Drosophila melanogaster: one gene and its partners. The protein of the gene in region 2 interacts with the protein of the main gene of each other region in a pairwise test. Each region holds a gene or a part of one and is shown on either strand. Other genes may lie near its edges.

Region 1 (3,755 bases), on a different chromosome or scaffold from region 2:
GCGAGAACATCAATGCCTTTTCCGCAACGGCGACTTGGATCTTGAAGGAGGGCAGTGGTCACGTGGGTCGCATTGTGTTCGCATGGTGGCAGGGCTCCCAATTGGATGTGGACTCAAAGAAATGGCGCCTGCGTGCGGATTTTCTGAACGATCTGGCCATGGGCATCGAGATCTACGTGCTTCCCAAGTATCCGCATTTCAGCACCCAAATCCTGTGCTGCTCGACCCTGCTGAAGGCGATTGTGGGCGTTGCCGGAGGTGCCACTAGATCGGCATTGACCCAGCATCATGCCTTGAGGGGCAACCTGGCCGATGTGGCATCCAAGGACAGTTCACAGGAGACGTGCGTGAATCTGGTGGCCTCCTTTGTGGGCCTGTATCTCCTCTCGCTGATCAAGAGTCAGGCGGTCCTGTATACCATATTCTACGTGGTGGTCAGCCTGCATCTGTATGCCAATCTGAAAGCAGTACGCGCAGTATGCTTGCGAAGCTTCAACGAGTCGCGCTATTTGATCGCCCTGGAGGAGTTTTTCAGGTCGTCAAGGATGCTCAGTCCGCAGCAGGTTGGTACATCGTTGATCTTGTCGAAAAATAAGGTTTTGTTCAGCTTTGACTTTTTTTCTAGGTGAACGCCATGGAGCGTGTGACGGTTGGCCAAACGGTTTCAGTGTCACTGAACATAAAGCTCGGACTGAGCGTTAAAAATTTGATTGACGAGTACAAGAGCAGCAGCGTTATTGAGAACATAGTGTCCTCCTTCGATCCCCACGAGCACTTCATCATCGCACAGACCAAAAAGTGTCTGGGTGTATATCTGCACTTTGAAACTCGTCCGCAGGATGTGCTGAAGGCGTACTTCTTTGCAGTGTCCTATTTGCAGGACAGGAATCAGCTTAAGGAGAAATACTGGGACATTCAGACGAAGTGGCAGGAGTTTTTGGCGCTGGCGCAGCAAGAGGGTAGGGATAAATTGATTTCATTTGTACTATTAGTGCTAGAGCCCTAATTAATTTTACTATGTATTATAGGTTGGCTAATCCATCATCACTTGCTGCTGGTGGACGAATACCGTTTAGATTGGAAGGTGTAGGAGAATGGTGACTTTGATTGCTAGATTTTGACCTTAGTTGCTTGCTTTGACCTGAAGAATTAATTTCATTAGACTTCATTATCATTCTCACATATCTCACATGGCTACCATAGAGCGAAAACATTGATATTAACTAAGTGCTATTGATATTTACCTAGATTTAGCTTTGTGAATCTCGTTCGCACTTGAACATCTTCCAACTAACTCTGCCTTAGCACAAAGTAATGTTTGTAACCGATATTTGATAAGCTAATTTCGCCCTGCTTTTACCCATGAATTTATCGGAAGACATTGTTTCAATTATTAGCTGCTACTAGGACTAAAGGAGACACAAAAGAAAATCAAGAAACTATTTTGTAAGGACTTATTGTAAGTATGCACTTCGATATTTCGAGAGCATACAATACATTTTTAGATATTAGTCATGAAGAATCTCACAACGAACTACGGAAAACCCGTTTCAATTGCATTCTGAGCAAAAAGTGTACAAAGTTTTAAGCTTTTTTTAATGCTAAATGTGCAATAGTAAGTTAAATATTAGCTTCGAGTATATACGGAATAAGTTGGCGTCCATTTTTGCTTAACTAAAATGCTTTTCAATGAATGCAATATATGAATTGTGTGCATACCGTCTCACCACGCAAATGATTTTAACGAAACAAATAAAAGTAAACAATTTTAAGGACAAAAATATTTATATCACATTTTTTAACAATAAACATTTTAAAAATTATACATTCGTTTTCAACATTTTAAATTTTTTGAGAGCGGTATAAACCATTGCCATTCGCAACGGCTCGATGTATTTTATTTATGACTGTGAATGTTATTTTAGAAAGAAGAAGACAACACGTGCGTGCATTCAACGTGTGTATTCTCAGTTGATATTCGTTTCCCTGCGATTTCAGCTTGATTAAGGAATTGTCTAACTATTTAAAGTTAAATAGGCATGGAGAGTGAGCAGCCAGCGGCTGTAAAGGCTTCAGCTCCAATTGAAGAGCCACAATCCACCGAAACAGCTGTTGAATTGGGGAAACATAGCACCTTGAAGGCAGACTTATCAATAGATAAGTTGGAAACAGCGACAACAGGTAAGCTTATAAGCTTTCTATACTATAAGTTCAATAATAGATTTGGAATTTCAATGCAGAAGCTACGAATGCCGTAGTAGAACCAGTAGAAATGGAGCAGCAGGTGGAAAATGAACTGGTAAATGAGTCAACACAAGCCATGACATCGACCACAACCCAGGAAAAGGTGGTGGGTTCAGTGAATAATCTTGTAGAGGAGCAACAGTGTGTGGAAATGGAATTCGAAACATCATCAGATCTCGTGGTCCAGGGAAGTCCATCGGAAGAATCCAAAAAAGTTGCCTCTGACGCTTCTGCTACTGTGACCGCACCTCAAGTTCAGCCCGCTCCACATGTTGATTCAAGCCCTCAAGCAAGTGGCCTCAGTCTGTTGGCTGCCTACAGCTCTGATGACTCGGATGATGAGAAAGTCACTCCAGTGCAGAACGGCGACAACGATGTGATTGAAGTTCCAGTTACGGACCCCGCATCCTCCACCACCGCATATCGTCCAGTTGTAGCTGTGAGCTCGGATGACGAGAGCTCAAAGAGCAGCAGCAGCAGCAGTGACTCAGACTCCGATTCCGAAGGAGAATACCTCACCGTACTTCGGAAGAAGATTGACAAAAGAATCAACACCGTGGATTGTGACGAGGATGACGAGGACTTTGATGAAGATGGGGCTACAGGAGATCGGTCTCGTCGTCGCCAGCCCCCGAAAGTACGAGGAGAAATGCTCCTTGATGACCTTCCGCCTATTCATCAGCTAGAGATTACTGTACCCGAGGATGAATGCGTTGAACTTGGCAAAGTTCAGTCCATCGTGGATCAGCTTGTTTTGGTTTCCGTGCTGCCGAATTCCATGCTATTCGATCTCGACACCGTTTTGTTCCTGGAGAAGGGTCGCAAGGTCCTGGGCGAAGTGTTCGATGTGTTGGGTCAAGTGTCGGATCCACTGTACTGCGTTCGATTCAACAGTAACAAACAGATCCTCGATAGGGGCATCAAAATTGGCGACGTAGTGTACTGCGCTCCCAAAACCGAACACACTCAATTTGTGATCCTCTCCAAGCTGATGCAAGTTCGAGGATCGGATGCTTCGTGGGAGCACGATGTAGAACCACCAGCCCGCTACGTAGATCACTCGGATGATGAAGAAGAAAGAGAAGCCAGGGCAGAGCAGCGAAAGCGCCGCCAAAGGGATCGCACAAACTCCACAGATTCCGTGGACACGGTAACCTCGGTGGCCACGACAGCCACTAAGGCTTCTTCAGTTGCTCCTCCTCCTCGTCAACGCGGACGTCGTGGGCAACGAGAGAGTTTCCGCCAGAGCCAGCGACCCTCCATTAACCAGCACAACCAGAATCAGCCACAGGACGAACAATACAACTTCCATCCAAGCTACAATCCGGGCAGCTGGCACTCCAACTACTACCAGAACTATCACCAGGCAGCGGCTAACTTTAACATGGCTCAGCAGCATCCTGGCATGCCCTTCCCAGTGCCTAACTATGGCTACGGAATGCCCTACGCCATGCCGCCCATGTACCCACACATGTACCCGCCACCACCACCCTTTGCTCCTCCTCCGCCGA
Region 2 (3,755 bases):
TTAATCTTAAAATTGAATTTTTTAAGCACCCAGAGGCGTGACTATCGCCATCGCCAGTGTTGAGCACCGATGAAATGAACTCGCCGCAAAAATCTTATCACGCAGCAGCTGACTGCAGTGCAGATATGAAAAATGCGAGCAGGAAGAAAGTGAGGAAAACAATTGAAACACATGACTTTTCGGATAAAACAACAACGTGTATTGGGCAGAACACAAAACAATGATAATACAATCCCGCGCGAGTGGGAGGCAAACTAATATGCTCGCTTTTTTCTACATGGAACAACAACGAATTTTCACTTTAATGTATGGAATAATAATACAGCAGTGTTTCCAGTTAGATTAACCACTATTATTACGGGTCTAAATTATGGATTAGAGTTGAACGTGGACATTGAATTTACAGCGCACAGTTTGGGGGGCCACCTCTTTACTTGTGGTTGTAGTTTTTGTGCACCTCGGGCGAGATGTTGTACACGTACTGCAGGATCTCCAGGATGAACGGGTCCTTGCGGGTCTGGATGGCCCGGTCCATGTCGGCCAGCTTAACGCGGATATCCGCATCGATCTTGGCCGCCACGCCCTCGCGACTGCCCATGTGCTGTAATCGGGGTTCACACGGTATTACATGTACATAAGTTTCCCTATGTGGCGTCTTACCTTGGCCTCGAACTCCTTGAAGGCGCGCTCGCGCTCCTGGCGGAACTTCTCGATCTCCTCGGTAGCCTCGTCCTTGGCTTGCTTCAACCTCCTTGCCTTGCCTGCGGGATTACCCAGAAATCCAGATGATCATATCAGTTCAACTTGGCAAATCAGCCCTCCGCAAGATGACCTTCCATAACTTAAAGTGCCAACTCGCACAAAAACTATTTACTGCACTTAAGTTGCAGTCTTAGTGGCCACAAACAATTTTAATTTAATTTAATTTAATTTAATTTAGTTTAATTTGATTTATATCTCGAGTTATGGAGGATTGACTTGTATTTACTTTTTTCCACCACATCATGTGACCCACACACAACGGTGATGGTGGTTATGGTAGCACGGGGGCGGGGTGGTGAAAAAATCGCAGTTACTTGTCGCCCTGCCATTTCCAATTGGATTTTTGTTTCTGAAAATGAAACTTACGTTTACGAGCCTCGGCGACCTTCTCGGCTGCCTTTTTCTCGGCAGCGAGCAACTGCTGGATTCCCTGCGTCTGGCTGGCCATAATTTCCAAACTTCTCTAATTCCTCGCCGTGGTGTATACTGTGCAAGTCGAAAAAAGCAAGTGCGACAGAATCACAATCGACGACGAACTGTGAAAAATGTCATATGACGAAGTCACACACACGCAAACTCACCACGGTGGCTAGTTGGTGTGGGTAAGCAGTGTGCCGGAAAGCTGGGTGCTGCGAAACTCTTGGAGATGGCTCGGTCGATTGCATATCGATTAGCTTAGTTGTATATTATTGTTTGGTATTGTATTGGCCAGAAGTATTAAATAATTTGACGTTTTTGTAAGCATTAACTTTCTCATTTATTCCCATCATGAATATTTTTCTTTTATAATTTTGTAAACTTTAATTCATTTTAATTTAAATGCAGCGTTTAATCTGCTTCGCACTGTAATAGTTCCGGCTGTATTTAAAGCTATTGTAAGAAATTAGTTCGTAAAAAATTCTTTATATTATTTTAAAATTGAAATACATAAAGATTAAATTTTGAAATAATTTATTCATATTAATATCTGAAGGCTATCGTTTGATATTAAATAACAACCATGTTGTAGTGGACCGAACTCACCACACCTCAGACCAAAATTAAATATTTGAAAATCACAAATCGTAACTATATGAAGCTGCAAATACTTTATATATCTTTAGCCATAGTGTATTTATTTCAATCAATTTGAATACTTTGTTGATATTTTTCCGAATAAATCTCTGCTGACTAGCTATCGATATCACCGATAGTGTCATCTCTGTCCTAGAAGTTAAACCACAGATGCTCAGGCATTAAACAAAATTAATTTCGAAATTTGTTGCAGTAAATATAGTTTAATTGTTTAAAATTCCTGTATAAATCCTTAAGAGGGGTGCCTAAAGATGTTTACGCCCACCACGAACAACGCCATTGGAGGCGCCACTGCTGCTACCGGCGCTTTTGCTTTTGGCGCGCGACCGGCGACGACGACTGCTCCGCCTCCATCCTTTGGAGCAGCCACCTCTACGCCAACCTTCGGTGCTGCTCCGGCCACCACCTCCTTGTTTGCAGCTCCCGCGGCCACACCGGCCTTTGGGGCACCAGCTGCTACGCCGGCTTTTGGAGCACCTGCGTCCACGCCTGGTTTTGGCGCCACTTCCACTGCGGCGCCGGCTTTTGGAACGGCTGCTGCCACGCCCGCTTTTGGCATACCAGCAGCAACGTCGGCTTTTGGAGCTCCAGCTGCTACGCCCGCTTTTGGAGCTGCAGCTGCCACTCCCGCTTTCGGAGCACCCGCCGCCACGCCCGCTTTTGGAGCACCCGCCGCTACATCCGCCTTTGGAGCACCAGCAGCCACAACGGCGTTTGGAGCGCCAGCTTCCACGCAAGCATCGGCCTTCGGAGCACCTGCACCAGCCGTGGGCACTGTGGCTCCCACTTTCTCCTTTGCCACCCCGGCCACAAGTGCGCCGACCACCGCGCCGCCGGCCTTTGGATTCGGCACCACCGCCACAACGGCGGCAGCTGCGATGCCAGCATCCCTCAGCTCCGGAATTGGATCGTTTTCCTTCCCCAAGCCACAGGCCACCACGGCGGCCAGCTTGAACTTTAACACAACCACGACGACGGCGACGGCACAACCCTTCAACACGGGTCTGAAACTGGGAACCACCAATGCGACGACAACCCTAGGAGGAGGAGGAATCTTTAGCAAGCCAGCGGGTCAGGCAGCTGCCCCGGCAGCATCGACTTTCGTGGGTCTGGGGGGGATCGATGTGACCGCCACGCAACCAAAGCTGGGGGACAATAAGCAAGATGGCATCAAGGTGCTGACCATGAGTCTTTCACAGAGAAACAAAATAATCATTTTATTTTCGACCACTCCAGATTAAGGAAACCCAAGTGCCCGACGAGATAATAAAAACGGTGGATGGCCTAAAAGCGTATATCAAACAGCAGAAGACCATCTCCTCTGACATTGGACGGACATCCACCTCCAAATTCACGAATGTCAGCCACGAGATCACGAACTTGAAATGGGCGCTGCAGAATATGGCCACTTTAGTTGAGGGCAGCAATCAGCAGATCCGCCTGATGCGCCAAGAGACCGTCAAGGCGATTCAATCTCTGGAGATGGCCCAACGCACGCAGGACACCCCAGCCGGCCTGCAGTTCGAGAACAATGCTCCGTTCCAGTACTTTCAGTGCCTGGTGGCGAAGTACGAGCAGGATTTGATCGCCTTTCGCCAGCAGATCGCTCTGACCGAGCGCCACATGCACGCGATCTCGAATCCGCAGAGTATTTCGCCGGATGATCTAAAGCGTGGCTTTCGCCAACTTAATGAGAGTTTCATCTCGCTGGCGGGACGCCTCCACGAGGTGCATCAGCGGGTGGAGGAGCACAAGGAGCACTACCTAAACCTCAGACGCTACCGCCTGCGAGACACCACCAACGTTTTCGAGCGGATTGACAATCCTCCGCTGCCGACGGTGGAACCTCAACGGATTAGTAGCGGTCCAACGCCCTTCTCCAACATCTCGGCTCTGATGAACAAGTCCTATGCAGCGGC
Region 3 (3,755 bases), on a different chromosome or scaffold from region 2:
AAGCTTAAATTTCTTGTACATTTTGAACAGATATCACATTGTGGGATCCACGCCGGAGGAGAGGAAAATGTTCCGGGTTTGCAAGTTGGACTACGTCATTTTTGATGAAGCCCATATGCTGAAGAACATGACCACGCAACGCTATGCTAACCTTATAACCATAAACGCTAGGATGCGAATCCTGCTCACTGGAACTCCGCTGCAGAACAATCTGCTGGAGCTAATCTCTCTGCTCTGCTTCGTGATGCCCAAATTCTTTGCCAAGAGCATTGAGGACATAAAATCGTTGTTTGCTAAGGTAAAACAAAGATTGGTTTCACACAAAACAATATATAAACTTCATGTTCCTTGCAGAAGGGAAAAAGCGATGGAGATCAGGATGAGGTTTCACAGTTCCAGGAAACACAAATCCAGAGAGCAAAGCGTATCATGAAGCCATTTGTACTCAGACGGCTTAAGAAAGATGTCCTTAAGAACCTGCCCAAGAAGCTAAGCCTGGTGGTAAGTACGTCGGGCGAAAATAAATATTATACAATAATTAAATTGTTTTTTATTTAAAGGAAAAAGTGCCCATGAGCAGTCAACAGAAAATATACTATCACGAGCTGGTCGATTATTATTCCAATAACAAGGGCGAGGTGTGCAGCAGCAGCGAAAGGGCCGGCATAGCGATCATGATGGAGATGCGCCGCATTGCAAACCATCCGTTGCTGATGCGTCACTACTTCACCGACGCCAATCTACGTGGATTCTCTAAGCGCCTGGCTAATGCCAGTTCCTTTAAAAAGACCAACGAGCAATACATCTTTGAAGAGCTAGCCGTTATGTCAGACTTTCAGGTCTATCAGATGATGAACAAGCATGTAAGTGACTATCAAAGAGGTTGTCCAATGACAATGACTAAATTTGTGCATCTTTCAGGAGTTTTACGACGTGAAAATACCCGATAATTTGATATGCGATTCTGGAAAATTCCTCTACCTGGATACGTTGCTTCCAAAACTGAAGGCAGAAGGACACCGTGTGTTGCTTTTCAGCCAGTTCACCATGATGCTGGACATTGTGGAGGAGTATCTGCGAATACGAAAGTTTGGTTTCTGTCGCCTGGACGGGGCGACCGCCGTAAATGTCCGCCAGGATTTGATCACCGACTTCAATGGGGACGATAGCATCTTTGTGTTCCTACTCTCCACCAAAGCCGGTGGCGTTGGCATCAACCTGACGGCTGCCGACACCTGTGTCATTCACGATATCGACTTCAACCCGTACAACGATAAACAGGCCGAGGATCGGTGTCATCGCATGGGACAGCAGCGTCCGGTGACCATTTACCGTCTCATTTCCGAGAGTACCATCGAGGAGGGCATCCTGATGGCCGCCGAAGAGAAGCTAAAACTAGAAAAGGACATTACTTCCAACGAGAAGGGCGAGGTGCACGAGCAGCGATGTGTGGTCAAGCTGTTGACCACAGCCCTTGGCTTGGACAAGGATCAGGAGGAGCAGCTAAACAATTCACTAAACAACTCCATAGCCTCGCCCGCCAAATAGGCATTCTCGTTGTCCTCGTTCTCGTCCTTGTCCCCACCTCCGTATTTATTCTGCGCGAGCATTTGATCAACTTGGTCTAATCGTCCTACCGCTGTCAAATCCTGTTAACATCGTTTGAATTATTCTAACAATATTGTATTTGTATATTTTTTAAACTTGTATGCAAGGAGAGATTTGGTGTATGGTATGCCAAAAGTGGATCATAAATCGAGTTAGTAATTTTTCACCGTTGAGGCGACATTAGTTTTTCTTCATTAGTAACAGCAACATTTCCACGATAAACCAAGGCAGACAAGTTAATATTCTTGTTTTATTGATTTGTCATCATGATTAGTTTTCATTTCTGTAATTTCTGTTTATGTATCGAATTGAAACTATTGTTATAAGGATAAAGATCATTTTGTGTACGAATGCGATCATGTTCATTTATTTCTACATATTTGCTCTATAGTTCGAGCCGCTCGACAACCCTAAACGGATCGCTCTCGCATTTTCCCACGAGATTCTTTTGGTTGTGTGGTGCAAAGAGAAGCGGAGAATCGCTTTCCAGAGAGCACAACTGTAATGAAGAGCTTTCGGCTGGCGCGGCGATTCATCAAGTCTTTAGTCTTCAACTGATCGCTCGCGCCGATGATTTAATTTTTAAGTTAAAGCCTGCGCCCAGTGTAGCAGCCGGCAGCGTTACTCACATCCATATACATACATACGTGCGAATATACATACATGCTCACATAATACGGCGTACATCGATAAATAGATATACCCCGCAGATATAGTGTCTCGATCGACAGCAACGAACCCATGGAAACCTAAAGTAAAACCAAAATTCCAAGGTTCCATTGTCCCGTAGTTAAATGTGTTTAAATCCAATTACATCCCCGATCCTTTATATTTTGCTCTTACGAATCGGGATTATGTGATTCATGCATAAGTACATACGTTTCCTCCCCGAATACTTTCTTGAATTCTATTTAAAAATAGACAAACTGTTTGCGAGCGGAAATCATATTGTGCCGCGGCGGCGACTAAAACGCTAAATAAATCGGGCCAATAATTTGAAATAGTCTGTTCTTTTTTTTATTTTGTCTTTCTGCCAGCCCGCTGATATTATTGTTTTTGACCAACGGAAACGGAAGCAACGCCAACTGCATATAGGTTTATAGATGTATCTACATAGTGCTGCGATACAGTCATCATTCGCAGCGCTGTCATATACTATAAATATAGATGCGGCGGCACATGTGAGCAGTTTTTGGCAATTGCCAAAGAATACGGCGCACAAGTCGGGTGAAAACAAACAGCGCGTGCAGGCTAAACATGAAGAGTAGTATAGGAAAATATAAATAACAATTAATAATCCCCTCATTTTGGCCGCGCCTGTATGCGTGTAGTGACCGCTTGTATGTGTACGTGTGAGAGTAATCCGAACAATAACTATATTATATACATAAATAGCGAGCGATCTGCATTAAATGAGAGAAAAATCACAATAAAAAGAAAAACGAACGAACACAACAACGCGAACAAAAATTAAGAAACCAAAACGGAATCGGTAATAATTGACGACGAGCAGACAACGAGCCGAGAACAAGCAGCACAAAGCGACAAACCAAAAATAGACGATACCAACGGTGCGTATACTTAACGAGCCACCCGCTCATATCACTCATCTCGCCCTCTCGCTCGCACAGCAGCCACCAGTCATCCGAGCAAAAGCAACAACAATAGGCACTAAAATCAATTGTGATCACAGTGCGTTTGTGTGAGTGCGTATGCGTATGCGTATCTGTGCCTTTTTTTGCATTTGCCGCTGTATCTGCCTGCATCTGTATCTGTGTCTAGAGGCCCGCAATCCATAACCATCTAGTGTATTACCCCATATGCGGACTATTTGGGCGTGGAGGGACGCTTCGAAATATTAATTATTTCTGACACTGTTTACGGCTTGACTTGGCGCATGCCAAGCATGATTAAACGAGACACGAAAGAGCGTATCTACGAAGTAGATAAATATCTTTATACGAACAACTAAGCTGCGGCACCAAGCAACAATCGAATCGACGAATAGCAACAACGCACAAACAAACCCATCTATATATACACTATAGACAGAGATAAACAAAAGCTCAAGCAGCAACAGCAGCAGCAACAACGAAACAATTTGAAGGAAATATTTTTGCACTAAAAGGTGAGTATATCCGTCCATC

What was found.
Region 1: the proteins of Nup58 (region 2) and CG10341 interact in a two-hybrid assay, tested with the Drosophila melanogaster proteins (one large-scale study listed by BioGRID).
Region 3: the proteins of Nup58 (region 2) and CG13124 interact in a two-hybrid assay, tested with the Drosophila melanogaster proteins (one large-scale study listed by BioGRID).

Annotation. Positions count from the first base shown.
Region 1 is NT_033779.5:18,696,796-18,700,550, forward strand, and holds the start of CG10341 (uncharacterized protein), read left to right. Parts: upstream 1-1,918; 5' UTR 1,919-2,039; coding exon 2,040-2,181; intron 2,182-2,240; coding exon 2,241-3,755. Other genes in the region: CG10338 (uncharacterized protein), read left to right, coding at 1-563, 626-959, 1,029-1,090. UniProt on the Drosophila melanogaster protein: RNA-binding protein required for the maturation of the box H/ACA small nucleolar ribonucleoprotein (H/ACA snoRNP) complex and ribosome biogenesis.
Region 2 is NT_033777.3:19,643,078-19,646,832, forward strand, and holds the start of Nup58 (nucleoporin 58kD), read left to right. Parts: upstream 1-1,948; 5' UTR 1,949-2,087; coding exon 2,088-3,011; intron 3,012-3,072; coding exon 3,073-3,755. Other genes in the region: Vha13 (vacuolar H[+] ATPase 13kD subunit), read right to left, coding at 431-601, 661-761, 1,129-1,210. UniProt on the Drosophila melanogaster protein: Component of the nuclear pore complex, a complex required for the trafficking across the nuclear membrane. Together with Nup54, required for transposable element silencing regulation in ovarian follicle cells.
Region 3 is NT_033779.5:9,907,032-9,910,786, reverse strand, and holds the start of CG13124 (uncharacterized protein), read left to right. Parts: upstream 1-2,153; 5' UTR 2,154-2,362; exon of another isoform or gene 2,363-2,479; intron 2,480-2,931; 5' UTR 2,932-3,179; intron 3,180-3,239; 5' UTR 3,240-3,736; intron 3,737-3,755. Other genes in the region: Etl1, read left to right, coding at 31-298, 355-501, 561-863, 922-1,548.